Tamandua tetradactyla: one gene and its partners. The protein of the gene in region 3 purifies or fractionates together with the protein of the main gene of each other region. This does not show direct contact. Links are inferred from orthologs where the notes say so. Each region holds a gene or a part of one and is shown on either strand. Other genes may lie near its edges.

Region 1 (10,356 bases), on a different chromosome or scaffold from region 3:
CCTGGCTATTAGGGAAATGCAAATCACATCTCACACCCACCAGAATGGCCATTATCAATAAAACAGAAAACGACAAGTGCTGAAGAGGATGTGGAGAAAGAAGCACACTTATCCACTGCTGGTGGGAATGGAAATGATACAACCTTGCAGAAGGCAGTTTGGCAGTTCCTCAGGAAGCTAAGTACAGAATTGCTATATGATCCGGCAATACCATTGCTAGGTATCTATTCAGAGGACATGAGGGCAAAGACACAGGCATTAGCACACAAGTGTTTATAACAGCATTATTTACAATTGTCAAGAGATGGAAACAGCCCAAATGTCCATCAACAGAAGAGAGGCTAAACAAGCTGTGGTATATACATTCGATGGAATATTACGCAGCTGGAAGACAGAATAAAGTCATAAAGTATATAACAACATGGATGGACCTTGAGAACATTATGCTGAGTGAGATTAGCCAGAAACAAAAGGACAAATACTGTATGTCCCACTGATATGAACTAACATTAATGAATGAACTTGGAGAATTTCAGTTAAGAACAGAGGCCATCAAGAGATAGAAATAGGGAAGATTTTGGGTAATGAGAGCTGAAGGGATACAGACTGTGCAACAGAACTGACTAAAAATTCAGAAATGGATAGCACAGTACTACCTAATTGTAGCCCAATAATGTTAGTACAGTCAATGAAGCTGAATGTGAGAATGATAGAGGGAGGTGGGCTGGTGGCACAAATGAAGCCAGAAAGAAAGATAGACGATAAAGACTGAGATGGTATAACCTAGGAATGTCTAGAGCACATAATGACAGTGACTAAATGTACAAATTAAAAAATGTTTTTACATGAGGAAGAACAAAAGAATGTCCATATTGCAGGGTGTCGAAAATAGGTGGCCATTCATATTTTAAAACGTCAACTTATGTGTGAGACTAAAGAAAAAAATGTTTATATGGTACAAAATTTATTGACTACAGCATTTCCTAATATAACTTATATGGACAGTTTAATTGAACACCATAAGTACTGGAACCTTGAATAGGGCATGAGATTTTGTAGGTTTGTCCAAAAGGATGCCCTGATAAATCAAAAAGAGTGATCTTAACAGTAAATAAAAAAGTATTTGCAAAGTCCCCTTGGGGGAATGGTGAGAAAGGGGGAAAATTCAATCTCCCCATTTGGAGAATTCCTGACATTCTAGCAAGCAGTGAGGACAATCAAATCAATAGGCCAAGCCCTCAATCTTGGGGGTTATTCATATGAAACTTATCCCCATGAAGGATAGACCAAGCCTACTTAAAATCAGGCCAAAGAGTCATCTACCCCTAGAAAACCTCTTTTGTGCTCAGATGTGGTCTCTCTCTCTCTCAGCCAACATGACAAGCAAGCTCACCGCCTTCTCCCTCTCTACATGGGACATAAATCCCAGGGGTGTAAAGCTCCCTGCCAATGTGGGACAGAAATCCTAGAATACACTGGGACTTAGCATCAAGGATTGAGAAAATCTTCTCCACCTAAACGGAGGAGAGAAAAATGAGATAAAACAAAGTGTCAGTGACTGAGAAACGTCAAACAGAATCGAGAGGTTACTCTGGAGGTTATTCTTATGCCTTTTATAGATATCCCCTTTTTAGTTTAAGGTGCATTACAGAGACTAGAGGGAAGTGCCTGAAAATGTAGAGCTGTGTCCCAGCAGCCATGCTTCTTGAAGATGAACGTATCATGATATAGCTTTCACAAAGTGACTATGTGACTGTGAAAACTTTGTATTTGACGCTCCTTTTATCTACGATATTGACAGATGAGTAAAAAATATGGATTAAATATAAATAAATAATAGGGAGAACAAACGTTAAGATAAATTGAGTAGATTGAAATACTAGTGAACAACGAAAGGGAGTGGTAAGAGGTTTAGAAAAAAATAGGGGGACAAAGGTTAAAATCTGTTGAACAGATGGAAAAACTAGTGGTCAATGAAAGGGAAGGATACAGGGTTTGGTATGGTGAGTTTTTCTTTTTATTTCTTTTTCTGGAGTGATGCAAATGTTCTAAAAAATGATCATGGTTATGAACATACTACTATATGAGATGATACTGTGAGCCACTGATTATACACCATACATGCAACGTTTGTATTTTAAGAATGTTCATGTTTGTATGTTGTTTTGGTTTGATAATACAAAATAAATTAAAAAAAAAAAACCAAGATGCACAGGATAAAACCTTGGGTACAAGTGGATTAAAAAAAGAAAAGACTGAAAAGTAGTAACCAAAAGTATAAGGAAAACCAGGAGATCTGTCTCACAATACTCCCAAACTCCTGTGTTCTTTCATGCTTCTCACTCCCTCTCTTCAGCTGACAAAACCCTTCTCAAGTTTCAAAGGCCAGTCAAATATTTCATCCCTTCCTGGAAGCCTTTCCTGACTTCTCCAAATAAAACCAATTACCCTTCCCCATGTCCTCACAAGCTTCCTTTATTGCAAATATTATATAATATTTTATCTATACACAGTAGTTTCTCAATATTATTGCTAAGGCAGTTATCACAGTCTGCCTTATATTACACCGTGAACCCTTAGGAACAGAGAACATGGCCTATTCAACCCTAAGCCCTTTAAGAGGGGGGAAAATTATTTAACTTAATAAAAGTCAAGAAGGGTAAATAACTGGGCAGAGGCTAAGGATAGCTCCTCGGTTCATTCCTCTTGTAAAACAAAATAACGTACTTGAATTAATTTAATTTACAAGTTCACATTTTCTTAAAGTAACACACACCTGTATATCGTTTTGTTGTTTTTTTTTATTTTGTTTTGTTTTTTGCATGGGCAGGCACCGGGAATCGAACCCTGGTCTCCAGCATGGCAGGCGAGAACTCTGCTGAGCCACCGTGGCCTGCCCTGCAAATCGTTTTAAAAATCACTGTAAAACACAAAACAACCTCTCATCAAAACGTCTATCCTGTCACAATACAATGATGTAATCACTTCCTTCAACAAAAATATGAAACGTCCTTAGATTAACCGGGGACTTAAAAACACAACCTTTTCGAAATTATTGTAAATTCTACACAAAACAAATGCAGAAATGTTACAAAGCCGCAGGAGGACACAAGAGGATGTCAATCCTGGATTTGGACCAACTGACGCCTGCATTACTGGGAAGCCTTTAGTGCCAAGCCAAAATTAGGCATTCCGTCAAAATTTTTTCCAGCAAGTGCTTCTCCCCACCTCTTCACCCCCTACCCCACCACCACACACACACACACACACACACACACACACACGATCCTTTAAAAGTCTACAAGAATCTAATGCCACTTTTGAAAACTTGGACGAATCTGAATTAGGTGTGTCCAACTGACCAGCACAAATCTTGAGTAATTTCACAATAAACGGTACACGCCAAAAGTCCACACGGGTGTGGTGCACCTTATCAACAAGACTGTGTCAGGGAAAGGGAGAATTAAACTTTTATATCCGTTCGGGGCGGGAAATGAGGGTGCGCGGTCTCAGCAAAAGTTCTCAGTTCAACAGTCGGGGGAGTTTTAGCGGCCGGTGACGGAGAGGTGGGGCCAGAGAAAGCACAGAACCAAAGGATAAACACCACTGGAAAACTCAACTCCCGGGTCACACTCGCACAGGGAACAGCGCGCCGGCATTCTTTACCAGGCCGGCGGCCCCGGGGGCCGCGCGCGGGCGTGGCGCGCACACCGAGTCCACTCCAGCAAACTTTAGAAACCGGGAGAAACTTTTCCGGCAGGATACGCTGAGCTGCGCGAGGCCTGCGACTTCCTCTCCTCCGGCCGCGGCGGCCCCTCAACTTCCCGAGGCCGGGAAGCGCGGGCCCCGCCCGGCCAGGCCGCGGTACGGGGGCCACGCAGGGAAAGCGGCTGCGGGCCAGAGGCCGGAGACTGGCCTCGCGCCCCACCCGGAGCCCAATCCTGGGCAGGGCGGCGGAGGATACCGCACCCCACCCGCCAGCGGGGCCCCGCTAGGGGCGGCCCGGCCCGAGGACCCCCAGAGCCCCTGCAAGGGGCCCGTGCCGGCGCGAAGGGAGGCGCCAAGAGAGTTACCTGGGGCGAGCAGAGCGAGCGCAGGAGGATCCCGAAGCCCGAAGCCGACGGCCACCGCTTTGTCTCTCTCCCGTCCGGCTCCGAAGAGGAAATGGGCCGTCAGGCGCCCCCGCCCCCCGCCCCGTGGCCCGGGCCCCGCCCGCCCTTCCCGGCGCCTCCCTCCGACGCGCTCTTCCCGGAGCCTCCCGCCGCCACCGCCCCCAGGCCCGCGCTTCCTGGCCCTGCCCGACTCCCGCTTTGTAGGGATCCGGACTGCGAAGACAGCCTGGCGAGGCCAGGCCGGGACCTCTTCCTCTCGGTCCCCACCCCAGAGTTACTTTCTCCCAGGCCCCTAGTGGGCGCTCAGGCTGAGTGACCCTGAGAGGAAGGAGGAGCAGCGACTCCTGGAAGGCCCCCGCGGGGGATGGGGGGAGGAGGTGAGTCACCGCACTGCGCACAGGTGAGGCTCAGGCCCCGCCCCGGCCGCGGCCCGACGACCGGGCGCGGCGCCTCCGGGTCCTGGGAGCGCTCTCCTGCGTCACAAGTGTCCCAGAAAAGTGCTCAGAGTCCACCCTCTGGTTTTACCAAAAGAGAAACTGTGGCTAAGTAAAGGTCCCGCAGTGTAAGGCAGAGTGTAATAGAAACCGACATAAACTTAAGAAACCTAGATTCTATCCCTATCCCTCTGACCATTTAGAAGATTTTATTCCCACCCTATGTTCCTTATCTTCACGGTGAATACTCCTAAAAAGAAAATACTACAAAGCAAACAACAACAAAAATGACTACAGCTTGCTAATTAACCTGAGATAGGAAACCCTGATAATGTTTCTCCTCCTGGGATGATGAATAAGGTTGATTTCAGCATTGGCCTTTGAATCCGAAAGTAACGATATCCATTGCTGACTCTGCACTGAGCAAGCTGTGTACGAGAGACCTACCCTCAACATGCTCACCATCTATTATTAACATCTCCCTCTTCCTCCAAGGAATGAAAACTTCGGAAGGATGGAAGCCGTGTCCTCTAGCACAATGCCTGTCTAGTGAACATGTCTGGGTAAACTGCCCAATGTAACTCAAAGTATGATGGGTTTGTGCTAGTTAAGAGATGCTGACAAAGGACAATAGAATCATGAGGGAAGGAAAGAAAGATATTTAAGCAAAAGGCATATCTTGATAAGGCCCTTCTGGTCCTGCTACACCGCAGGCTGTTTCTGGCTTCAGGGTCTTTCTCCAGTAGTCCCCTCTGCTGGGAGTGGCCATGCCTTCCCCCACTTCACCTGGTTACCTCAGAACATGGTAATCAATCAATAAATATTTGTTTCACCTATCAAGAGAAAAAGCAAAAGGATTATGTTCCATAATTTTGTATATCCCTCACTTCACTCAGGACCAGCTACTTTATTTGTGGGGTCCCTTGCACAAATTAAGAATTTCAAGAGGGTGACAGTAGAGCATTAAACCAAGCATCAGGTCTTTCTAAGCATGGGGCCTTTCTAACTGCAGGGCCCTGACTTCCCTTGCTGTATTTTACCTACCTGCATTTATACATCTGGGTCCCACAACAAACTGAGACATTCTTCAAGGGCAGAGACTAGTCAAATGGTAGATAACTGTTTCTTGAATGAATGAGTGACTGTCATTGATCTTGAAGAATGGATAAGATTTCGAAAGAGAGAAATGAAGTCTTCCAGGTGGAGAGTTCATCATAAATAAAACTAGAATTGAAGATCAAAGTGCAGGGTTTGTTTGGGAAGAAGGGTCCAAATGAGAGACTTGCAGTGTGTCCCTTAAGCTAAGGGAAGTCAGTTCCCTATCTCCAAAAAAATCTGAAAAAGCTTCCTGGAGGAAACGAGCCTTCACCATGTCCTGGGCATTTGCTACATGCTGAGGAAGCATCAGCGAATAAAAAATTGACTTGATCTCTGTTCTCACACAACTTAAAATGTGGTGGAGGAGGCAGGTGTTAAAACAAGTAAACTACTAAAAAAATGGAGGGGGGTGGGAGAGAGTGTGAAGCCAGGGGCTGGAGATATAAATAGATTTGGGGGAAAATTAGCCTAGTTTGGGGGACAGTGACCTGACCAAGTACCCTTTATACTATACTCCAGGCAGGCTTTAGCACTCACCTCCCCATCGTAACTGCTTTTATCCAGGTCCCAATGACCTCCACATTGCCAAATCCAGTAATCAATCTTAGTCCTCAACTGACTTGTACCATTAGTGGCATTTGTTCATTCTCCTCCTTGAAATGCTTTCTTCACTCCCCCTCCAAGGCACCAAGTGCTTCTGATTTTCCTCCCAGGCTGCAGCTTTAGTCTCCTTTTTTTTTTTTCTTTTTTTTTTTTTAATTAAAGAAAAAAAAGAAATTAACACAACATTTAGAAATCATTCCATTCTACATATGCAATCAGTAATTCTTAATATCATCACATAGATGCATGATCATCATTTCTTAGTACATTTGCATCGATTTAGGAAAAGAACTAGCAAAACAACAGAAAAAGATATAGAATGTTAATATAGAGAAAAAAGATAAAAATAATAATAATAGTAAAAAAAAAAAGAAAAAAGACAAACAAACAAACAGACAGACAAAAAAAAAACCTATAGCTCAGATGCAGCTTCATTCAGTGTTTTAACATGATTGCTTTACAATTAGGTATTATTGTGCTGTCCATTTTTGAGTTTTTGTACCTAGTCCTGTTGCACAGTCTGTATCCCTTCAGCTCCAATTACCCATTATCTTACCCTGTTTCTAACTCCTGCTGGTTTCTGTTACCAATGACATATTCCAAGTTTATTCTCGAATGTCGGTTCACATCAGTGGGACCATACAGTATTTGTCCTTTAGTTTTTGGCTAGACTCACTCAGCATAATGTTCTCTAGGTCCATCCATGTTATTACATGCTTCATAAATTTATTCTGTCTTAAAGCTGCATAATATTCCATCGTATGTATATACCACAGTTTGTTTAGCCACTCGTCTGTTGATGGACATTTTGGCTGTTTCCATCTTTTTGCAATTGTAAATAACGCTGCTATAAACATTGGTGTGCAAATGTCCGTTTGTATCTTTGCCCTTAAGTCCTTTGAGTAGATACCTAGCAATGGTATTGCTGGGTCGTATGGCAATTCTATATTCAGCTTTTTGAGGAACCGCCAAACTGCCTTCCACAGTGGTTGCACCATTTGACATTCCCACCAACAGTGGATAAGTGTGCCTCTTTCTCCACATCCTCTCCAGCACTTGTCCTTTTCTGTTTTGTTGATAATGGCCATTCTGGTGGGTGTGAGATGATATCTCATTGTGGTTTTGATTTGCATTTCTCTAATGGCCAGGGACATTGAGCATCTCTTCATGTGCCTTTTGGTCATTTGTATTTCCTCTTCTGAGAGGTGTCTGTTCAAGTCTTTTTCCCATTTTGTAATTGGGTTGGCGGTCTTTTTGTTGTTGAGTTGGACAATCTCTTTATAAATTCTGGATACTAGATCTTTATCTGATATGTCATTTCCAAATATTGTCTCCCATTGTGAAGGCTGTCTTTCTACTTTCTTGATGAAGTTCTTTGATGCACAAAAGTGTTTAATTTTGAGGAGCTCCCATTTATTTATTTCTTTCTTCAGTGCTCTTGCTTTAGGTTTAAGGTCCATAAAACCACCTCCAATTGTAAGTTTCATAAGATATCTCCCTACATTTTCCTCTAACTGTTTTATGGTCTTAGACCTAATGTTTAGATCTTTGATCCATTTTGAGTTAACATTTGTATAGGGTGTGAGATACGGGTCTTCTTTCATTCTTTTGCATATGGATATCCAGTTCTCTAGGCACCATTTATTGAAGAGACTGTTCTGTCCCAGGTGAGTTGGCTTGACTGCCTTATCAAAGATCAAATGTCCATAGATGAGAGGGTCTATATCTAAGCACTCTATTCAATTCCATTGGTCGATATATCTATCTTTATGCCAATGCCATGCTGTTTTGACCACTGTGGCTTCATAATATGCCTTAAAGTCAGGCAGCGCAAGACCTCCAGCTTCGTGTTTTTTCCTCAAGATGTTTTTAGCAATTCGGGGCACCCTGCCCTTCCAGAATAATTTGCTTATTGGTTTTTCTATTTCTGAAAAATAAGTTGTTGGGATTTTGATTGGTATTGCATTGAATCTGTAAATCAATTTAGGTAGGATTGACATCTTAACTATATTTAGTCTTCCAATCCATGAACACGGTATGCCCTTCCATCTATTTAGGTCTTCTGTGATTTCTTTTAACAGTTTTTTGTAGTTTTCTTTGTATAGGTTTTTTGTCTCTTTAGTTAAATTTATTCCTAGGTATTTTATTCTTTTAGTTGCAATTGTAAATGGGATTCGTTTCTTGATTTCCCCCTCAGCTTGTTCATTACTAGTGTATAGAAATGCTACAGATTTTTGAATGTTGATCTTGTAACCTGCTACTTTGCTGTACTCATTTATTAGCTGTAGTAGTTTTGTTGTGGATTTTTCCGGGTTTTCGACGTATAGTATCATATTGTCTGCAAACAGTGATAGTTTTACTTCTTCCTTTCCAATTTTGATGCCTTGTATTTCTTTTTCTTGTCTAATTGCTCTGGCTAGAACCTCCAACACAATGTTGAATAATAGTGGTGATAATGGACATCCTTGTCTTGTTCCTGATCTTAGGGGGAAAGTTTTCAATTTTTCCCCATTGAGGATGATATTAGTTGTGGGTTTTTCATATATTCCCTCTATCATTTTAAGGAAGTTCTCTTGTATTCCTATCCTTTGAAGTGTTTTCAACAGGAAAGGATGTTGAATCTTGTCAAATGCCTTCTCTGCATCAATTGAGATGATCATGTGATTTTTCTTCTTTGATTTGTTGATACGGTGTATTACATTAATTGATTTTCTTATGTTGAACCATCCTTGCATAGCTGGGATGAATCCTACTTGGTCATGATGTATAATTCTTTTAATGTGTTGTTGGATATGATTTGCTAGAATTTTATTGAGGATTTTTGCATCTATATTCATTAGAGAGACTGGTCTGTAGTTTTCTTTTTTTGCAATATCTTTACCTGGTTTTGGTATGAGGGTGATGTTGGCTTCATAGAATGAATTAGGTAGTTTTCCCTCCACTTCGATTTATTTGAAGAGTTTGAGGAGAGTTGGTACTAATTCTTTCTGGAATGTTTGATAGAATTCACATGTGAAGCCGTCTGGTCCTGGACTTTTCTTTTTAGGAAGCTTTTGAATGACTGATTCAATTTCTTTACTTGTGATTGGTTTGTTGAGGTCATCTATTTCTTCTTGAGTCAAAGTTGGTTGTTCATGCTTTAGTCTGCTTTGATGATTCTTTCCAGTTCCTCCCAAATGCTACATGTCAAAGCCACAGTTCTCAAAGTGTAGTCTGGGGCACCTTGGCATTCTTTCAGGAAGTCAGTGGGCTATGGGAGCAGATATGAGAATCCAGCTATCTTTTATTAAGCCATTCATTAAAGAGAAATGCAAAAATGCAAAACTATGGCACTTCTCATGCCAATGGCTGAGAGATTCCAAAGAGAGTCAGAGGTTATTCTGGTGGTTATTCTTATGCATTATATAGATACCACCTTTTTAATTAAGGTGTAATGGAGAGGCTAGAGGGAACTGCCTGAAAATGTAGAGCTGTGTTCCAGTAGCCATGTTTCTTGAAGATGATTGTATAATAATATAGCTTTTACAGTGTGACTGTGTGATTGTGAAAACCTTGTGTCTGATGCTCCTTTTATCTACGTAATCAACAGATTAGTAAAATATATGGATTAAAAATAAATAAATAATAGGGGGAACAAATGTTAAAATAAATTTAGTAGATTGAAATGCTAGTGATCAATGAAAGGGAGGGGTAAGGGATATGGTATGTATGACTTTTTTTCCTTTTTATTTTTATTTCTCTTTCTGAATTGATGCAAATGTTCTATGAAATGATCATGATGATAAATATAGAACTATGTGATGATATTGTGAATTACTGAATATATATGTAGAATGGAATGATCATATGGTAAGAATGTTTGTGTTTGTATGTTGATATGTGTATTAGTTAGGGTTCTCTAGAGAAACAGAACCAACAGGGAACACTTGCAAATATAAAATTTATGAAAGTGTCTCACGTGACCATAGGAATGCAGAGTCCAAAATCCACAGGGCAGGCTGCGAAGCCAATGACTCCAATGGATGGCCTGGACGAACTCCACAGGAGAGGCTCACCAGCCAAAGCAGGAATGAAACCTGTCTCCTCTGAGTCCTCCTTAAAAGGCTTCC
Region 2 (10,066 bases), on a different chromosome or scaffold from region 3:
GGATTCATCCCAGGTATGCAAGGATGGTTCAACATAAGAAAATCAATTAATGTAATACACCATATCAACAAATCAAAGCAGGAAAACTACATGATCATCTATGCAGAAAAGGCATCTGACAAAATTCAACATCCTTTCCTGTTGAAAACACTTCAAAGGATAGGAATAGAAGGGAACTTCCTCAACATGATAAAGGGAATATATGAAAAACCCACTGCTAACATCATCCTCAATGGGGAAAAACTGAAAACTTTCCCCCTAAAATCAGGAACAAGACAAGGATGTCCACTATCACTACTGTTATTCAACATTGTGTTGGAAGTTCTAGCCAGAGCAATTAGACAAGAAAAAGAAATACAAGGCATCAAAATTGGAAAGGAAGAAGTAAAACTCTCACTGTTTGCAGATGATATGTCAAAAACCCTGAAAAATCCTCAGCAAAACTACTAGAGGAATAAATGAGTGCAGCAAAGTGGCAGGTTACAAGATCAACACTCAAAAATCTGTAGTGTTTCTATACACTAGTAATGAATAATCTGAGGGGGAAATCAAGAAAAAAAATTCCATTTACAATTGCAACCAAATGAATAAAATATTTAGGAATAAATTTAACTAAAGAGACAAAAGACCTATGCAAAAAAATTGTTAAAAGAAATCACAGAAGACCTAAATAGATGGAAGGGCATACCCTGTTCATGGATTGGAAGACTAAATATAGCTAAGATGCCAATTCTACCTAAATTGACTTACAGATTCAACGCCAATACCAATTAAAATCCCAAAAACTTACTTTTCAGAAATAGAAAAACCAATAACCAAATTTATCTGGAAGGGCAGGGTGCCCCGAATTGCTAAAAGTATCCTGAGAATAAAAAATGAAGTCAGAGGTCTCATGCTACCTGACTTTAAGGCGTATTATGAAGCTACAGTGGTCAAAACAGCATGGTACTGGCATAAAGATAGATATACTTATCAATGGAATAGAATAGAGTGTTCAGATAGAGACCCTCTCATCTATGGACAATTGATCTTTGATAAGGCAGTCAAGCCAACTCACTTGGACAGAACAGTCTCTTCAATAAATGGTGCGTAGAGAACTGGATATCCATATGCAAAAGAATGAAAGAGGACACCCTATATAAAAGTTAACTCAAAATGGATCAAAGACCTAAACATTAGATCTAAGACCATAAAACTGTTAGCAAAAAATGTAGGGAAATATCTTATAAATCTTATAGTAGGAGGCAGTTTCCTATACCTTACACCTAAAGCAAAAGCATTAAATAAATAAATAAATAAATGGGAACTACTCAAAATTAAACACTTTTGTGCATCAAAGAACTTCGTCAAGAAAGTAAAAAGACAGCCTACACAATGGGAGACAATATTTGGAAATGACATATCAGATAAAGGTCTAATATTCAGAATTTATAAAGAGATTGTTCAACTGAACAACAAAAAGACAGTCAATCCAATTACAAAATGGGCAAAAGACTTGAACAGTCACTTCTCAGAAGAGGAAATACAAATGGCCAAAAGGCACATGAAAAGATGCTCAACTTCCTTGGCTATTAGAGAAATGCAAATCAAAACCACAATGAGATCATCTTACACCCACCAGAATGGCCATTATCAATAAAACAAAATGACAAGTGCTGGAGAGGATGTGGAGAAAGAAACACACTTATCCACTGTTGGTGGGAATGTCAAAGGGTACAAACGCTGTGGAAGGCAGTTTGGCGGTTCCTCAAAAAGCTCAATATAGAATTGCCATATGACCCAGCAATACCATTGCTAGGTATCTACTCAGAGGACATGAGGGCAAGGATACAAATGGACATTTGCACACCAATGTTTATAGCAGCACTATTTACAATTGCGAAGAGATGGAAATTGCCAAAATGTCCATCAACAGAGAAGTGGCTAAACAAACTGTGGTATACACATACAATGGAATATTATGCAGCCGTAAGACAGAATAAAGTTATGAAGTATGTAACAACATGGATGGACCTTAAGGACATTATGCTGAGTGAGATTAGCCAGAAACAAAAGAACAAATACTGTATGGTCTCACTGATATGAACTAACATAAGTGAATAAACTTGGAGAATTTCACTGGTAACAGAGACCATCAGGAGATAGAAATAGGGTAAGATATTGGGTACTTAGAGCTGAAGGGATACAGATTGTGCAACAGGACTGAATGTAAAAACTCAAACATATGGACAGCACAATACTACCTAACTGTAATACAATTATGTTGAGACACTGAATGAAGCTGCATGTGAGAATGACAGAGGGAGGAGGGCTGGGGGCACAAATGAAATCAGAAAGAAAGACGATAAAGACTGAGATGGTATAATTCAGGAATGCCTAGAGTGTATAATGATAGTGACTAAATGTACAAATTTAAAAAATGCTTTTGCATGAGGAAGAACAAAGGAATGTCATTACTGCAGGGTGCTGAAAATGGATGGTAATTAATATTTTTAAAATTTCAACTTATGTGTGAGACTAAAGCAAAAAATGTTTATTTGGTACAAAATTTATATTTTGACTAGTGCATTTCCTAATATAACTTATGTAGACAGCTTAACTGAACACCATAAGTACATGGAACCTTGAGTAGGACATGAGATTTTGTTGGTTTGTCCAGAGTGATGCCCCAATAAATCCCACAGTGATTTGAACAGTGAATTAAAAAGCATTTGCAAAGTTCCCTTTGGGGAATGGTGAGAAGTGGGGAAAATTCAACTTCCCCAAGTTGAATTCTTGATAGTCTCACAAGCAGTGTGAACAACCAAAGCTATAGGCTGAGCCCCCAATCTTGGGGTTTGTTCATATGAAACTTAACCCCACAAAGGATAGGCTAAGCCTACTTAAAATCAGGCCTAAGAGTCACTCCCAAGAGAACCTCTTTTGTTGGTCAGATGTGGCCTCTCCAGCCAACACAACAAGCAAACTCAGCACTCTCCCCTGTCTACGTGGGACATGACTCCCAGGGATGTGGACCTTCCTGACAACATAGGACAGAAATCCTAGAATGAGCTGAGACTCAGCATCAAGGGATTGAGAAAACCTCCTTGACCAAAAGGGGGAAGAGTGAAATGAGACAAAATAAAGTGTCAATGGCTGAGAGATTCCAAGAGGAATCTTCCGAGAGGTTATTCTGGAGGTTATTCTTACGCATTAAATAGGTATCACCTTGTTAGTCAAGATGTAAGGGAGAGGCTGGAGGGAACTGCCTGAAAATGTGGAGCTGTGTTCCAGTAGCCATGTTTCTTGAAGATGATTGTATAATGATGTAGCTTTCACAATATGACTGTGTGATTGTGAAAAAATTGTGTCTGATGCTCCTTTTATCTACCTTATCAACAGATGAGTAGAACATACGGAATAAAAATAAATAATAGGGGGAAAAATTTTAAAATAAATTTAGTTTGAAATGCTAGTGATCAATGAAAGGGAGGGGTAAGGGTCATGGTATATATGGATTTTTTTCTGTTTTCTTTTTATTTCTTTTTCTGAATAGAAGAATCACCAAGAAATAATCATGATGATGAATATGGAAGTATGTGATGATATTGTGAATTACTGTTCATATGTGTAGAATGTTAAGAAAGTTAAGAATGTTTGCGTTTGGTGTTTTTTGTTTTTAAAAAATTTAAAAAAAAAGAGAGAGAGAGAGTAGCTCATGAAGAGAGAAATAGATCAGAAGAGACATACATGCAGGCCTTTGGAAATGCAGAAGCCCCAGGAGACGCCAGGAGCTGAGAGAGCTGACAGAAGCTAGACAGGAACCAGAAGCAACACAGATGCAGACATTTAGAGTTGCTTGGAGTGCCAACAGAGAGAGCAGATGCTTAGTCATAGGTATTTGGAGATGCAGAGCCCAGCAGACGTCACCATGTGCCTTCCCATGTGATTCTAAGCAAGCCAAAAGGATCCACAGAAGCTGAGCGAGCTGTTTAATACCAGAAGCCATGAAAGGACACAGACACCAGTCATGTGCCTTCCATGTGACGGACTTCGATCTTCCTTCAGAGTAGAGGTATCTTTCTCTGGATGCCTTAGTTTGGACATTTTTATGGCCTTAGAACTGTAAACCTGTAACTTAATAAATCCCTTTATAAAAGCCATTCCATTTCTGGTATATTGCATTCTGGCAGTTTTAGCAAACTAAAATAATCGAGTATTTTTTCATTGATTTAAAGTCCACTTGTATTTCTTCTCTATGAACTATGTGCTCATGTCCTTTGCCTATTTATTGTATTTTTTAAAATTAATGTTTAACAATAAAAATATGACTTTCTTAATGTCATTTGCTCAAGAACCTCCTCAGAGGGAAGAGGTGCCTTCAGATAGGTGTTCAGGGTGCTACACAATCACACTCAGCTCCCTCTTCTGACTCATAACTGCACAATACCACTATCTGTTCCCAAGGAAGGGTCCCTTTGTGGTCTCAACATCCTGCACGTCTCCCACAAATGTGTTTGCTCTCCTATTCCTTCCCTGTGGGGGACTCTCTTCCAGGTTAAACCCGACCAGTCCTTCAGAACCAAGCTTAATTTCACCTCCTCCGGGAGCATTTCTGAATAACCAATTCCCACACTGCATACAGTCTCATTTTCACATGAGCCTGGAAGGCTGGGCCTGGCACTTGCCCAGAGCTAGCTAGCTTCCTGCTCTGTCCATGCTCAGAGTGTCCGAGTATCTGAGTGTCTGAGTGAGGAGTGTGTTTCATTCACTCATTTGACATTTACTGAATGCATATGTGAGCTAGATACTATTCCAGGCACTGGTCCAGACGCTGGAGACATGCCAGTATATGAGGCAGACAAGGTCTCTCCTGTCATCCCACTGACGTTTCAGTGTGGGTGGGGCTGGGGGACAACTAATGCACAGCAAACAAACATGACAATAAACAAACACGCAACCAAGGTCAATTAAGTGCAATAAGTCATGGAATAGACAGTGAAAGAAGGGGAAGAGTCTCCTTTGAACAGAGGGCTCAGGAGGTGGCTCCCTGGGGGATGATGTCAGAGCAGAGACCTGAACATAAGATCCAGCTGTGTAGAGCCCTACAGAGCCCTGACCAGAGGCCCCACCTGGCTGGTCCGCTCTTCAAAAGATGGTCGAGGGATAGTTCAGCCCCCAGCACCCCTTCTTTCTGTCACTTGGACAGGATTTGAAGGCAGAAGCCTGTGATCCGTGCAACTTCAGGTGCCGGGACTTTGCCCTCTGGCCTCATATCCCAGCTGCAAACTTAGAAACGCCCCTAGCCCACCTGAGCAGATCACGTGGCCGGAGTTATCCGTCTCCCAGGTGCGCGGATGCAGCCAGGCGTTACTAGAGCAGCTACTAGGTGCTAGGGTGTAAGTAAGCACTTCATACCACTGTTATCTCGTGTAATCGATGCAACAATTCCGTGTAGTCCTGATGATAAACTTCGTTTTACCGAGGAAGTAACTGAGTCACGGCAAATGGAAGTGACCGTTTAGGATTGTGAGGTTCACAAAGAAGCACAGTTCCTGGGGGAGAGAAATTCTGCCGTGGGATTCACGAGGTGTTTACTGGGGTACATGGGGTGCGCGACTGTTCCCAGAGTTTGTCAGGTCTAGCCGCGGGTCCTCAGGCTGTCGGCACTTCCATCAGCAACACACCTCCAATCCGGCCGGGGCCTCGGGGCAAAGGGGCGCGAGGCGGGCGCGCCCGGGCGGGCGGGGTGGGGGCGGGGAAGGCGCGGGGACAAAGGCCGCGGCCGCAGCGCTCTGGTCGTCCCGTGCGGCAGCGAACTCCTGGGGCCGGGCCGGAACTCCAGGCGCCCCGAAGCTTAACGCGCGCTCGCGCCGCGAGGAGCCCGCGAGGCGATGGAGCGCTCTGGGGAGCTGCAGGGGCCAGCGCAGGCCCAGCCCGCCTGCCCGCCGCCCCCTCCGCCCCCGCCGCCCCCTCCCCTGCCTCCTCCCCGCCCCGCGGCGGCGGCGGCGGCAGCGGCTCCGCGCTTGGGGAACATGGCGGCGGCGGCGGTCGGACGGGACACTTTACCTGAACACTGGTCCTACGGCGTATGCCGGGACGGCCGCGTCTTCTTTATCAAGTACGGCGCGGGGATGCGGGATGTGGGCAGGGCGGGCTGCTGAGCGTGCGGGCCCGCGGGCGGTGGCGGCGCTAACAGGTGCACCTCTCTCCCCACAGTGACCAGCTCCGCTGCACGACCTGGCTGCACCCGCGCACCGGGGAGCCCGTCAACTCGGGCCACATGATCCGCTCAGGTGGGCTACGGGCCGGCGGGGTGGGCGCTCTCGGGAGCCGCGCGTCGCGTCTACCCGAGTTTGACCCGAGTTTTCTCACGTTTCCGCAGACCTGCCCCGCGGCTGGGAGGAGGGCTTCACGGAGGAGGGCGCCAGCTACTTCATCGAGTGAGTGAGTGGGGGCGCGGCTGCGGCGCCGGGGTCTGGGGAGGCCTCACCGCGCCTCGCACCTGCGCGCCTGGGGGCGCGGGCCGTCCCTGCTGGGCGCCCCCTGCCCCTCCTTCTAGCCCCGCCTGGGCGCCGGGCGAGTTGGCGCGCACAGCGCGGCGGCCGCCCGCGTCGGGTGTTTTTGTGTGCCGGGGCTGTGTGGCGGGCTCCGGGAGAAGGCGGGCTGGAGTCCGCAGCTCCGGTGTGGGACCGGCGCGGTGGTCTGGGCGGGGGCAGGCGCTGCAAACTCTGCGTCCTGGACCACGCAATCCGGCGGGATTCGCGAGCTGAGTGTGAGGGGCCGGACACACCTCCCCGCCCGCGTCCGCGCGGAGAGGAGTGGGAGCCCGGACCGGGATGGAGCGGGGCGGGGTGGAGAGAGTAGAACAAGAAATTCGGCCCAGGATACCGAGCCTGAGAAGGCGACCAAGGGAATTTCGCTTGGAGAGGCCTTCTCCTTTGGCTCTGTCTTCTGGGACCGTCGAGAAGAGTCGGAACCGTTCCTCTTCCCCTCCCCCCACCTCTGGCGGGCCTGTGGGGATTGGGTAGGGGTGGGGAGGGCAACCGACCAACCAATAAAATTCCTCAAACCTCTCTTTTAGTCGGCGCTGAACCCGACACTTAACTCCCGCCTCGGCTAGTCAAGCAGTAGGTTTTCCGCAAAAACCTTGGAGCGTTTCCGCACCGGGCAGGTTAGCACCGCAGATATGGGTGTGTAGAAATCAGATCGAGGAACATTAAGTTCACGCGCCGTCCACATTCTAACGCCACTAGTGCTTTTACTTCTCGCTCCAGGGCATGCGCCTGAGCTACAGCTTTTCTTACTTTGTCAGCTCCTTTGTGAGCTCCGTAAGGGCAGAAACTGCTTTTGATCCTTTGCCCCAGTGCCTGGCATGGAGTAGGCACTCGGTAAATGTTTGTTCATTGAAGGAATAAACCAGCCAAAGGTCTTGTCGGTGGGCTGACTGGAACTGGGAGTACTTTCCGGGAGTAAGTCAGAATTCCCTTTTCACCAACTTGAAAACATTGTTAGTGAGTAGGGGGACAGCACAGTTGAAGCTGAAATGGTCCCAGAAAATCTCGGAGCTTCCCTCCAGGGTTTGGACTCCAGTGGGAACCCCCACACTTGTTAGTTGGTTGAAACACTGATGGATGAGAGGACTTAGGGCCTGGCTGTGGTCCTGTCCTCCTGCCTAGCTGGGTTGTGAAGGGGAGATGGGGAAGTTCGCTGAGGGTGTCAGAACCTCTCTGTTAAAATGGGCTCATAAGTGGGTCAACTGTTATTTATTAAACTCCCCCTATGAACCAGCATCATAGCTCTAGGTGTTGGGGCCACAGAAGTGAACCAAACAGACCAGGTCCAAGTGCTCATGGAGCTTGCAATCTTGTAGTTAGTAAATAAATAGATAGTGTTAACTGCCATGCAGAAAATTTAAATAAGGTATGTGATAGCAAGTGACTTCTAGCTTAGTGGAATTGGATGACAGTGATGCTGAGGTGGAAAAGCATTCCAGGAAAGGGGAACAGCCAGTGCAAGTGCCTAAGGCACAAAGAGCCTCATGTCCAAGGATCAGAAAGGCCAGTGTGGCTGGAATACAGCAAACAGGGAAAGAATGGTATGAGAAGAGGTCAGAGATAGGAGAGAAATAATGATGTAAGTCTCTGTGATCCAGGGTAAGGAGATTTTGGTATTCTAAACCCAGCAAGAAATCACTGGAGGGTTTTAAGTAGAGGAGTGATATGATTAGATTTGCAATTTTAAAAAGATCACTCTACCTTCTGTGAAGAGACTGAACTGTTGGTAGGCAACTGCAGGGAAGCAGGGGAGCAGTGGAGACAGTTACTATAGCTCAGGTAAGAGGTGATGGTGGCTTGACTGAGGATGATGGCACTGGACATGGAGAGAAGTGGCCAGGTTCAGCTTGCATTTAGGAAGTAAAATCTATAGATCTTCCTACTGTATGGGATATAGTCTCTAAGGAAAAGAGAAGAGTAAGATGACTCCTAGATTTGGGAGAGGAGCAGGTGTGAGGTGGTGGAGAATCATGAGCACTTATTTTTCCCTGTTACCTTTAAGATGTGTATATACCAGGTAGATATATGTATCTGAACCGTGGCAAAACGAGGACTGAGTGGGTATTTTAGATGATATTCAAGGTCAGGGGGGATTGGAGGAAATCACCTAGGAAGGGAGTGTAGACAGAAAAGAGAAGACACCTTAAGCCTTGGGACATGGCAGCATCTGGAAGTTAGGAAAAGAGGCAAATCCAGCAAAGGAGACTGAGAAGGTAGGAAGGTAGGAGAGAACTCAGGAGAATGAGCAGACAGAAGCTTCAAGGGCAAAGCCCGAATGGAGTAGGTGAAAGAGAACATATGAAGAGGGGAAAAGGAGTCAGTATGTATAGGCCAATCTTTCAAGTAGTTTTATGGGGAAGTAGAGTTGGGGTATTATCTAGCATCTGGAAAGTGATCTGGGTTTAAGGGAGATTTTGTGTGTGTCCTTTTTTTTTTTTAAGTGGGAGGTCCTATAGCATGTTTTTGTTATGATGGAAATGATCCACTGGAGAGGAAGAAAGTGATGATGCAGAAAAGAGGTGAGATATTGCTGGACTAGAGATCCCGAGGAGGCAAGAATGGGATCCAGAGTATAAATCTCTACTGGTCTCAGACAAGTGCAGGGCACTTTTGATGGGAGGAAAGGCTGCAAGCTCTGGCGCCAGTGCAAGGAGGCCCCTAGATGTGGTGGATGTTCCTGTAGAATAGTTTCTGTCTTTTCCATGAAGCATTAGGCAAGGGCCCTGAGCTGGGCTATTGAGGGGGTGTGCAGACTTCAAGCCACTGTGGCAGCCTCACGCCCTTCTTCTCTTGCTGACTGTTCTATGATAACTCTGTTTGTAAAGTCCCTGGTGATTAATAAGCCCTACCCCCCAGGGCCTCGCTGCAACCTCCCAGGCCTAGGGGAAAGCAGTGTGTGAGGGCATCCTCTACCATTAAAGGCAGACTGTGTGCGGAGGAAGGGATCCTGGTGGTAGCTGATTTTATTTTCTGCCTTCTTCCTTGGCAATTTCTTGAGAGACTAATTAATTGTTCTCCTTTTCCTGACATTAAAAATGTTTTGCGTCAGTTTGCTTTCTCAGATTTGCTGTGAGCATTTTTGAATGTCTGAGATTGATTTTCTTTTCCTCTTTTTTTTTTTTTTTTTGTGGCCTCCTCTACTATGGCTCCATAAATTAGGGGGACAAAGAATTGCCATGACTAATTTTTTTTCTCCAGTTGAATTTTGGACAGAAACGCTGTATGACGTTTTCAGGATGCATTAGTTGCTCCTGGTATTTAGTAGATACTGTAATACTCTCCAGAGTCCATTTCTTGAAGCAGAAAATCTTGAGCTAAGGCAGTTGGATTTTAGTTTTGGTTTCTGTACTTTGGGTTCAATTTTGGATTAATGAGGGACAAAACATATACGGAATCTGCACCTTTTTCTCCCAATTCTAGACTAGGTGGTGCTGACATTCGCTTTAAAAAGACTTTTTGTTCACTGAGACTTCTCTACTTTCCAATGAGCCCCTCAGCCAGCTAGCAAGATATAATAATAATTGTAATAA
Region 3 (10,362 bases):
CAGACACCAAGGTGAGCCTTTCCTTCCTAAAGGCTCACCCAATGAAAAGCCCTGGAGAGGAGACAGGGAGTTCCACAGCCACCTGGCAAAGAAAGGTGGGCAGGTCCAGCAGTCCCCAAGGGGAAGGAGCTGCATCCAGCTTTCCTTAAATGGCTGCGGGGGCCCAGGACCAGGACTTTTCCCGCCTCCGCTCTTGGTGAGACACAAAGGCAGGGGCAGAAAGGCAGCCAATGAGTCTTTCCTAGTAAGGGCTGCATCCACCCCTGGCACAGACCTGAGTAATTGGGGAAGTGATGCTTAAGAATCTGAAGGGTGGGGAAACATCTGATGATGTAAGGCGATCCCCAAACAGGTTTTTTGTATTTGTTTTTTAAGCCCAGTTTAATTAGAGGCCCTGGATACTGCTTCTGCCACCCTTTCATCACATCTTTTAGAAAGGAGGGGAAATGGGTGTATTTAATCTACACATGTGGGTGCCTGTGAGTTAGTTAGTTACTTATCAAGCAGCTGAAGCTCAAACCCAAAACACAGGCCCTGTTTGTCCAAGGCCAGACTGTAGGGGAAGCAAAGCAAGGAAAGGATTGGATCAAAAGCCTGCCTGCTTTTCTTGTGTCCAGTTCCCAATACTCCCCACCTCTACCCCCACTCAACTTAAAGCTGTATTCACTAGGCTAATACTGCTAAAATTTCAAACTGTCTTAACAGACTGCGTTTCTCAAACCAAAGTCCTAAAGAAAAGGAAAACACTAATCACAAGCTCTGAATAACTCATTTGGTTTGTTGTTTTTTTTTTTTTTTTTTTAATGTTCTTCATTCTAGAACCTGGAGAGAAACCAATGGAATAAATAGGCTGAGATGGTGAGATCAGCCATTCCCTAGGGCACAGGAGTGACCCCAGCAAAACGCCCTGAGGACCCCTGAATTGGGTCAAAACCGATGCTCTACAGTCACCCAAGGAGGAAAAAAATGAAAGGTTCCATATTCTCCAGCTCCCATGCAGCAAATTCTCCCCAAAGCCAATGTTAAAACCTGGTGCTAATCTCTTAGACCTCCATTATCCTGGACTGTCCAGTGAGAGCAAGACCACCTTCCCAAACCCTGGCTGCCTTGTTAAATCACAAAGCTAGTCCCTAAGGTCAACTGTGTCGTTTTCCAAAAGACACTTCCATCCTTCATTGATTCAATAAGGAGACCCTATGGTGCAAACAGGCCAAACAAAAAGTTAAATCAGGAGATCTGTCGAGTAGGGGTGGGGTCTGTGGCTATAAAGGGAAGAGGAACAAATCACACAAAAAGCCTGTGAAGGACTGGCTGAAGCTGCCTCTCCCGCAAAAGCCACCAGCCACAGCCCTGCCCTCTGCCTCCCACCTGGTCTGATCCATCTCTACCACCACCATCTCCTCTAAGGGGTCCCACCCAGGTCCCACCCGTCGGCACCTCTGTTCTCCAGGGCACAGATAGTCTTCTTCACAGGATTTCCCCAAACAGCTTCCTTTGTTTGAAATGACTGAAGAGAAAAAGGACAGGAGAAAGCCCAACTGTGGTTCCATGAGCAGATTACTGAATGTCTGAGCTCCCTCAGATGGCTGTTGTGAAGACTAAATGAGGTAAAATGTAAAGCACTTGCCCCAGAGTGTAGTTCAAAAGTGAAAACCAGGAGCTGCTACTAACAACAATGATAATAATTATTAACATGTAATGCTATTATTGGCCAGAAACTATGAGTTTGGGAGGTAGAAACTATGAGTTGGGTAGTAACAGAACAACCCACCCTTGAAGCTACCAAGTGTGCTCAATTGTCTTGGTACAGGAAAACAGACCACCAACAGTGTCCATCCACAGTTCATCCCCCCCCAAACACACCTGCCCCACTCTTCAAGCCTGGGCAAAGTCTGCCTCCTCCCAGAAGCACGTCTTCATTGTCCATTGACTCCACCAAAATACTCCAGGCTGCCCACACCCTTTGGCACCTAACTTCCCATGTCCCAGTGTCCTAAGGAGGCCTTAGGACATTCTCAGGAACCTGCTACAATATGAAATACTGAGACCAAGGCTCGAGTGTCCCCATTCCTGCCTCTTTTCTATCCACTCCCTGGTGCCCAGCACAGGCAAGAACTGAGAAATTGGTCAAGCCGCCGCAATATCAGTGAGACAACATTTTCTTTCTGACCCAAAAAGAAGCTCCACACAACAAAGCTGGGGTTCGGTAAATATGTTTAATCAATTGAGCCTCAGTTTCTCTGGGGGAAAATGCCACCCGCTGTGGGACAACTTCCAAAGGTCCAAAAAAAAAAATTAAGATTGCTGAATCACAGATGTTCTAAGAAATGATCATGATGATGAATAAGCAACTGTGATGATATTGTGAATTACTGATTATATATGTAGAATGGAATGAGCATATGTCAAGAATGTTTGTGTTTCTTTCTTGTAATTTTTTTTAATTAATAAAAAAATTTTTAAAAAGTTAAAAAAAAAAAGATTGCTGCATCATATTTTTCACTTGGTCAAGGACTGGAAGAATAAACACAGTGGATGCCTGAGGGGAAATGTGGTGGCTCCTCTTTCTAAAAGGCTTTTCTTTACTGTTATGATACTCCCACAGTTAACTAAGATCATGAGGGAGGAGAAAGACGTTTGATAAGAAATAAGCACCTAGGAATCAGTGAAACTAGAAAAGAAACCAATCCTTCCCTGGCTCCCACCCCTGGGCAAGGGTGAATTGGAACAAAGCAAACTCTAGAAACCAGGCTATCACAGTGATAAGGTCTAGAAGGGCATTGGGCGTTTGTGTGTATTTTCATCCTGAGTCACAGCCACCGAACTTTTTTTTCAAAAACCATTATTCCTTGAGGTACCTGCATGGAAATGATTTCATCTCTATGAGCAAAAGCCACAGCCCCAGTAACCAAGTGAGGGTTCCTCGGTCATCCCAGAGATGGAGCAGAACTATGTCTGGGAGTCAGAGCCCAGTTTTGCTGACCGTGAGCCAGTGGACTCTCCCCTCCAAGCCTTGATCTGCTCGGAATACCCCCCACCTCCCAGCGGGCTTTTCCCTCCCGAAATGACAGGCCATCTCTAAAGTTGTCAGGACAGTATGAGACACATATTGAAGACCTCTAATAAGTGCCCCCCACCCCCCCAACCGCAGAGGTCAATCACGGTAATGCGCGTCCCCACCTCTGCCCAGGACGCGGCCTCTCTCCAGGTGCCGCCGGGGCACCGGGAACGTGTAGCTCTCCGCACCAAAGCCAGGACGGCAGGGCTCCGGCTCCTCGCAGAGCCTCGATGAGACCTGGGGGAGGGGAGGAGAGGTGTAGGACCGGGGTTACTTGGAGGGGGTCCCCTCCTGCCCCCACCGAAACCCACAGCGCCGCCCCTCCCTCGCTCGAGGCGTCGGGATTGTGCAAGGACACCTCCAACCCCACCCCCACCCCACCCCCGGCAGCGGCGTCATCCTCTCGCTCCCCGAAACCTGCAGCGGCCAAGTCTCCGGGAACTCGAGAAAAGGGGGAGAAGGGGCGCGCTGGGTCACCTCCTCACGACCTAGTCCCCTCTTTCTTCCGGTCTCTTTCATGCTTTTTCATTTCACCGGAGGCGTCTTGACTCTTCCCGACACCACTTTCCTTATACCGGGAAACGCCGCCAATCCAAAGTCCAGGTTCTCACACAGGAGGCGCCCCAAGCCTTCTTGACCCCACTATCCTTATCCCAGGGCGCCCCACTCCTAATGGGCTCCCCTTTCTTCACCCGGGAGGTGCCTTTATTTCTCTGAACCTCCCTTTCCTTACCTCGGCGATTCGCCTCACTACTCCTGGCTTCTCTTTTACTCGCACCGGGGCTCCCCCTTTTCGGCATCCCGAGCCCCACCATGCTCCATGCTCCAACTGCCTGCCCCAAGCCCATACCTACTCCCGGCCCTGGAGCGCGGGCAGCTCGGGGCGCCCCCCGCCGCGGATAAATGCGGGAGGAGGCGGGCAAAGCCTCCCTCACCCTCACGCACTCCCTCCTCCGCCGAGTCCAGAGCGCCGAGCAGCTTCCAGGCCGTTCTGCTGCAGGGGACCCAAACTTTCTCGGAAAAGGGGGAAGTCGATGACAGGAGAGAGGAGGGGACGCGGGGCCTGGGAGCGGGTCGGGGGACTGGAAGGTGTCCCCTCACAGCGAGGGGAACCGACGTACCTGAAGCAGCAGCAGGAGCGCGAAAAGGCTGCAGCGCGGAGCGCCCATGGTGGGCCGGGCGGGTGCCGAGCGGGGTCAGGTGGAGTCGGGCTGGGCCGGGCTGGGCCGGGCTGGAGTCTAACAGTACTTATCAGGCTCACAGGTAGTCCGCGGCTCGGGACGCCACTGAGGCCGACAGCGCTGCCGCCGCCAGGTGAGCCCCGAGGCCTCCGCCCCTGGCGCCGCTGATTGGCTGAAGACGCACCTGCCTCGGCTGCAGCCAATGAGCGGCGCGGCGCGGGCTACAGCTTCCACAGGCGGGCAGGGGGCGGGCAGCCCGCCCACAGTCCCGCCACCGCCCCGCCCCTCGGCCCCGCGCTGACAGGGTCACCAGTCGCTGTGAGGTTGGAGGTTGGAGGGTCAGCAGGGACTCGGGGCTGCACGGCTCTGATTCCTAGAGAGTTCGAATCCCAGTCCCGCCGTGGGTGACTGGAGTTTGAAAAGACCTTGCCTCTTATTTAGTACTGTTTTGTTACCTGCAGGTCTCTATCGGTTAATGAGTTACCAAATGGATTCATTAGGTCAGGAACGCTTCTCCCAGCCTCAGTTTCTCCACCTTCCAAATGAGAATAATGGTCACCAAAGTCCCCCCCTAGGTTGTTGCGAGTTTCCCATGCAATTAATAAGGCCACTGTTTCCTGTAAGATAAAAGCCATGCATGGCTGTGAGAGATAATAATAGTACTAGGCATTGAACGGACTGTGCTAAGCATTTGACTGAAGTTGACCATCTCATTTGATCCCTTCTCAAAGCACCCCAAGGACAGTGTCACTGTTCCCATTTGATAGATGGGGCAACTGAGGTATAAAGAGGTTAAGGAGGCCAGTAAGAGAAGGCAGAGGACCAGAACCCACCTTCAGGGCCCTTGCATTGAACTATTATGCTTTCCCTCTTGGGAAGCCAGGCAGTCTTCCAGCTGGAGCTGCAGTTTTCAAACCATCCTTTAATGTTGACCTGGAGGAGATCCCTTTAGAGATCACCCAAACCTGTTATTTGCAAGTAACTTCCCTAACATCATGTTAAAGCTGAGACTAAAACCCAAGATCTCATTTCCAGACTGTGGCTCTTAACAGAAACCACAGCCACCACCACCTTCTCTTGAAAATTCTGTTCCCAGACAATTTTAGGATTGCAAAAAGAATAGACAGGATTAACGTTAGGTCGGACAACTTCCCTTTTCTGTGGCCATGGTTTGGCTACTTGGGAAGAGCACCTCCTTTCCCTCCATCCTGCAAGCTTGGGTCAGAACTACAAAACAGTATGTTCACTGCGCCCTAGCCATGTGACCTTGGGCAAGTCATTGTGTTCACCTGTATAAACGTATTGAAATGAACAGCTAAATCACTAAACTGAGTACTTGGCACATACATAGTAGTAACTGCTCAATATGTGGTTGGTGTAGAGGTTGTTCTCTTGAAAAGCCTACCCACCTCTTTCCCTTCCTCCTTGGGAAAGCCATGCTTGGAATTCTTCACCTAAAGCTACAGCTCCTCTACCCCACAGTCCCCTCAGTTTTAATGGGTTTCTGAGCACACACCCAGGCCATTTGGATTGCTGCATCTTGGCTCTCTCTGCCTCTCAACCCACCAGGAGGCTCGGAGCAAAAAGGCTCCAGTATTTCCTTTCCCACCGAGGCTCCTGCCCGGATTGTGCATTAAACAAGATAATGGAAATACAGAAAGAGGCGTTTCCCCCATGGGGCAGCCTTGTCAGTTTATTTTTTTCTCCCAGTTATGTAAAAATGCATATTTTATACCATCGCTCGGCCCGGGGAGCCTTTAGGGCTTTGCTCTCTTCCACCCAGCAAGCCCTGGCCTTGTAGTTCCGTGGCAGTGCTCATCGACTCTTCCATTACACACTGATAATTCAATAAAAAGGATCTTAGAAAACAATTAGGGGCAGCGAGGACAGGTTGGGCCTGATGCTCTCATCAGACTTCTTGGCAAGTCTGAATCCTTCTCCAAGATCCCAAGGGTGGGTCGTGAAGAGCCGTCCCCCATCAGCTGTCCAGGGTGAGGAGGGAACGTGCGGGGTTCCCTGTGTGGATGGCAAGGTGTGACTTTGGGCAACACTGTGAATTGCCTCCATTTCCTCTTTAATCAAACAAGGACATTAATAGCTAGTTGTAAGGATCAGATGAGCGGGTTTAGAGAGCCGGCAAGCCATGCTGTGGGCGGCCTTTGCTCTCAGTTTGACTGAGAGTTCAAATTCCAGCTCTGCGACTAGCTGGGTTGGATAAGTCACTTTATCTCTCCAAGTCTGGATTTCCTCATCCATAAAAATGTTGATATCACTTAATTCACAAGGTTATTGACATCACACAATTCGCAAGGTGATTCTAAGTGCTCTGTTAGTTAGCTATGCGCACTCTTTGCCTGACACATTCCTATCCCAGCTGAAGGTAAAATTGGGAGCCTCTTCATCCTCAAACTCTGCTTCCTCCAACCCCCAGTATATTAAAGGCTCCTAGGATCTATCTCCCATTTGCTAGGAAAACCTCTTTCCACTGGATGGCTAGCCATTTTGTCCCTCCCATGCTCATTTACATTTTAAAGAGGACTCTGGGGAATGACCTTGCTTGTTTCAAAGGAATGAAAGTTCTAGATCTGGTAAATTCTATGCAGGGTTTAGCCTGGTGTTAATCCATGGTTTCTGGTGGGGAGGGGGTAGCCAGAGGAGGGGGTAACGTGTGTATGTGTGCCATGAAAGCCTTGAGATTGTATGCGAACCTGTCAGTGCAGGTGGCACTGCCTATTGCTTTCATTACCTTCTCAATTGGAGGCAGATCAAATTGCAATCCAGGGGTTGAGATCCCTGAGGGCCCGTTTAGTACTAAAGGTGAAATTCCTGGCATGGACTGGGAAAAGAAATGTTGACGAGAGTCCTGGTCGGTGCTCTCTAGATCACTCCAGGTAGGTGACACCAGCCACTGCAAAGCGAGCATGCACCATGGAATGACAAGCCTTCTCCTTCCTAGTTGGGCATACCGCTTGGCTGGACTTTCATTTCCTGGGTTTGGGGAGACTGGTCTGTTCATTCGAGGAAGGAAAGCTAATGATTAATTCCCCAGGCGGAACTGTCCCTTTCATCTCAGTGCTGCCGGGCCGGGCCGGCGAAGGGACCGTAAATACGGAGCTTAGGTTGGGAGAGAAGCGCCTCTCCGGGCCTCGGCTGAGAGCAGCCGCACCCCAGCCCGCTGCGGACGGAGGATTGCACCCAGGCCACGGGGGCTCCCGACCTCACCGGTAGAGGAGGCTCCGTTTTAAAAGCTCCAGGAGGTTCCTGCCGTCTCTGCCGGGCCGGGCTGCCGGCCAAGCACGCGGGGGAGGGAACTGGACACCCCACTTCAGCTTTCTGTGAAAATGGTGGTAACCGATAGGGGTACCGCCCTTTGCAGCCGGCCATTCACTTCCGCACAAAACATTTTTATTTCAAACACAAAAGTAAAGAAAATAATCTCTACTTTGTACCGTGTGATGAATGCCTCCATCATCCAGCTTCAACCAGGATCTTTTGTGGTTTTGTTTTTTTTTTATAGTTTTGTGATTTGTTAACTTTCGGATTGTACCGTGTCTTGTTTCATCTCTCCTCCTTTTTAATATTTATTTTTGTAGGATTTTGTAGTGCAAACCCCAGTTAACATGCCATTTCCCCTGTGACTATTTCACTATGCATCTATAATTGAGGAAGAAGTTTCTTTCCACATAACCATCATGCTGTTAGGTAATAGCACCTAATAAAATTAACAATAATTCTTCAACAGTGTCTAATGGCTAGGCCATATTTTTAAAACGCCTTTTAAAATATTTATTTTTTTCTTTTTACAACTTATTTTAATCAGGATCCAAAATATAGCCACACATTGCATTTGGCAGTTTTGTGTCCTAAGTCTCTCTTTACCTGTAACAGTCTTCCCATCCTTTTTAGTGCAGCTTTATTGAGGTATAATTGTTTATATTTAACGGTACCATTTGATGAGTTTCGACATATACATATGCTGTGAGACCATCAGCACCGTAAAGATATTTAACATACCCATGTTTTAAAAAGCTTTTGTTTAGACATCATTCCAAATTTTATTTGGACATCATACTTTTTCAATAGCATTAATTTTTCTTTTAAGAAACCTGGCCACTTGTCCCATAGAATGTCCTGCATTTGCATTTAGAATGCATCCTCACAGTGTCATTTAACATGTTCCTCTATCTGTATGTCCCATATTTCAGTAAACTGTTACTCAGCTTTAGAGGCTTGATTTAATGTAGATTCAATTTCCAGGCAAAATATTTCATAAGTTTGTGGGTGTTTCCCATGGCATCGTATCAGGACACACACAATTGTCTGGTCGACTCACTTTCAGGATGCTGGGAATCAGCTGACACCATTATCAATTTCCCCATCATCCTTTCACCTCCTGGCTTTAGCACCATGCATGATGACCGCTCAAATCCATTATCTCATTTAGGCAAATAAACATTTATCAAGTACCCCCATGCACCAGGCACTGTATTTGAAACTGGGAACATAGAAATAAAATATGGTCCCTGCCCTCAGAAAGTACATAAGGTAGTGGGGGGTGCAGACCAATAAACATTCATCCATTTATTTATTAAATATTTATTGAATGCCTACTGTGTGCCAGGTATTGTACTAAATGCCAATAATTGCATTAAATTGTATGATAGAATCGCTACCATTTATTGTAACTCAAACCTTACTTTATATGCATTATTTCATCAATGCTCCTATGGCTCTTTGAGTGCTGTCACTAGATCCTTTTTTCAAATTTGGAAGCAGAGGCTGAGAGATAAAGAAATTTGCCCAGTTTACAGAGTAAAAATGACAGAGCTGGAATTTGGAAGCCAGGCCCACTGGCCTCCAAATCCTCTTCATCTCCATGTTTAACTGCTAAAGGTCAGGACATGCATGTCTTTATTTCTTCCTCATGCATGTCTTTATTTTATTACCTATCTAGCCATACACTAGATAAAGGGGATATTAGTCACGAGGTTTATACAATCACACAGTGTTTCAGTTTGCTAAAACTGCAAGAATGTGATGTACCGGAAATGGATCGGCTTTTTCAAAGGGGATTTATTACGTTACAATTTACAGTTCTAAGGCCATGAAAATGCCCAAATTAAGACATTAACAAGAGGATACCGTCACTCAAGACAGGCTGATCATGTCCAGGGTTTCTCTGTCACATGGCAAGGCACATGGCAATGTCTGCTGTCCTTCTCCCCCCGGCTTTTGATTTCAAATGGCTCTCTCAGCTCCTGTGGGTCTTTCTGGCTTTCCCTGGCAAGTGTTCCTTCAGTATCTTCAAATGTCTGTGTCTAGGGATCTGCTCTCAGTATCAGCTCTCCAGGTATCTTTGGCTCTTAGCTCTCCATGTTCACAGAGATTTTTTATTGTGGTAACATGCATACAACATAGAAGCTCCCATATTAATCACATTCAAGTATACAACTCAGTGGATTAATTGCATTCACACTGTTGTGCCACCTTTACCACTATCCCTTGCCAAAACTTTTCCATCATTCCAAATAAAAACTCTTTATTCATTAATCATCACCTCCCCCTTCCCGATCCCCTCGGCTCTTGGTTACCTACGATCTACATTCTGTCTATGAATTTGCATATTCTAAATATTTCAAATAAATGGAATCATACAATATATGTCCTTTTGTGTCTGTCTCATTTCACTCAATATGATGTTTTTAAGGTTGCATGCGACACTTAACTTGAACTAATTCAAACAATAAGGCCCATTTGTTGCCTCATGTAACTGAAAAGTCCAAAGTAGGTCCTAGCTTCAGCAACATTTTGATCAAGGTTCAAGCTGCTTTTCTCTGTGGTTTCATTCTGTTTGACCTGCCCAAATCTCTGTGTTGGTCTTCATTCTCAGGCTGACTTCCAAACAAGAGATATTATTCATGTCATCAGTAAAAATCCTGAGATCCATTCTGATAGGACTAGGCTAGGTCACAAACCTAACCCCAAATAATTATTTTGTGATCAGGCTGTTGGAATTGGCTTTTCCTAGGTCACTTGCTCTACCTTTAGTGCTATGCTAGAGCTAGCTTCCGTAGAAGGGAAAGGAATGGATGCTAGGGTTGGGGAGGTGAACAAGCAATAAGG

Evidence for each region.
Region 1: the proteins of CDH1 (region 3) and CTNNA1 purify together in Homo sapiens (affinity purification with western blotting; 10 studies listed by BioGRID and IntAct, with this or other methods). This does not show direct contact. The link is inferred for Tamandua tetradactyla from reciprocal best matches to the Homo sapiens genes CDH1 and CTNNA1.
Region 2: the proteins of CDH1 (region 3) and PLEKHA7 purify together in Homo sapiens (co-immunoprecipitation; 3 studies listed by BioGRID and IntAct, with this or other methods). This does not show direct contact. The link is inferred for Tamandua tetradactyla from reciprocal best matches to the Homo sapiens genes CDH1 and PLEKHA7.

Annotation. Positions count from the first base shown.
Region 1 is NC_135346.1:18,439,852-18,450,207, reverse strand, and holds the start of CTNNA1 (catenin alpha-1), read right to left. Parts: upstream 4,207-10,356; 5' UTR 4,074-4,206; intron 1-4,073. UniProt on the Homo sapiens protein: Associates with the cytoplasmic domain of a variety of cadherins. The association of catenins to cadherins produces a complex which is linked to the actin filament network, and which seems to be of primary importance for cadherins cell-adhesion properties.
Region 2 is NC_135334.1:92,391,808-92,401,873, reverse strand, and holds the start of PLEKHA7 (pleckstrin homology domain-containing family A member 7), read left to right. Parts: upstream 1-5,994; 5' UTR 5,995-6,014; coding exon 6,015-6,100; intron 6,101-6,198; coding exon 6,199-6,275; intron 6,276-6,364; coding exon 6,365-6,422; intron 6,423-9,705; exon of another isoform or gene 9,706-10,066. UniProt on the Homo sapiens protein: Required for zonula adherens biogenesis and maintenance. Acts via its interaction with CAMSAP3, which anchors microtubules at their minus-ends to zonula adherens, leading to the recruitment of KIFC3 kinesin to the junctional site.
Region 3 is NC_135342.1:62,712,477-62,722,838, reverse strand, and holds the start of CDH1 (cadherin-1), read right to left. Parts: upstream 4,356-10,362; 5' UTR 4,228-4,355; coding exon 4,180-4,227; intron 3,748-4,179; exon of another isoform or gene 3,578-3,747; coding exon of another isoform or gene 3,536-3,577; intron 3,296-3,535; coding exon 3,181-3,295; intron 1-3,180.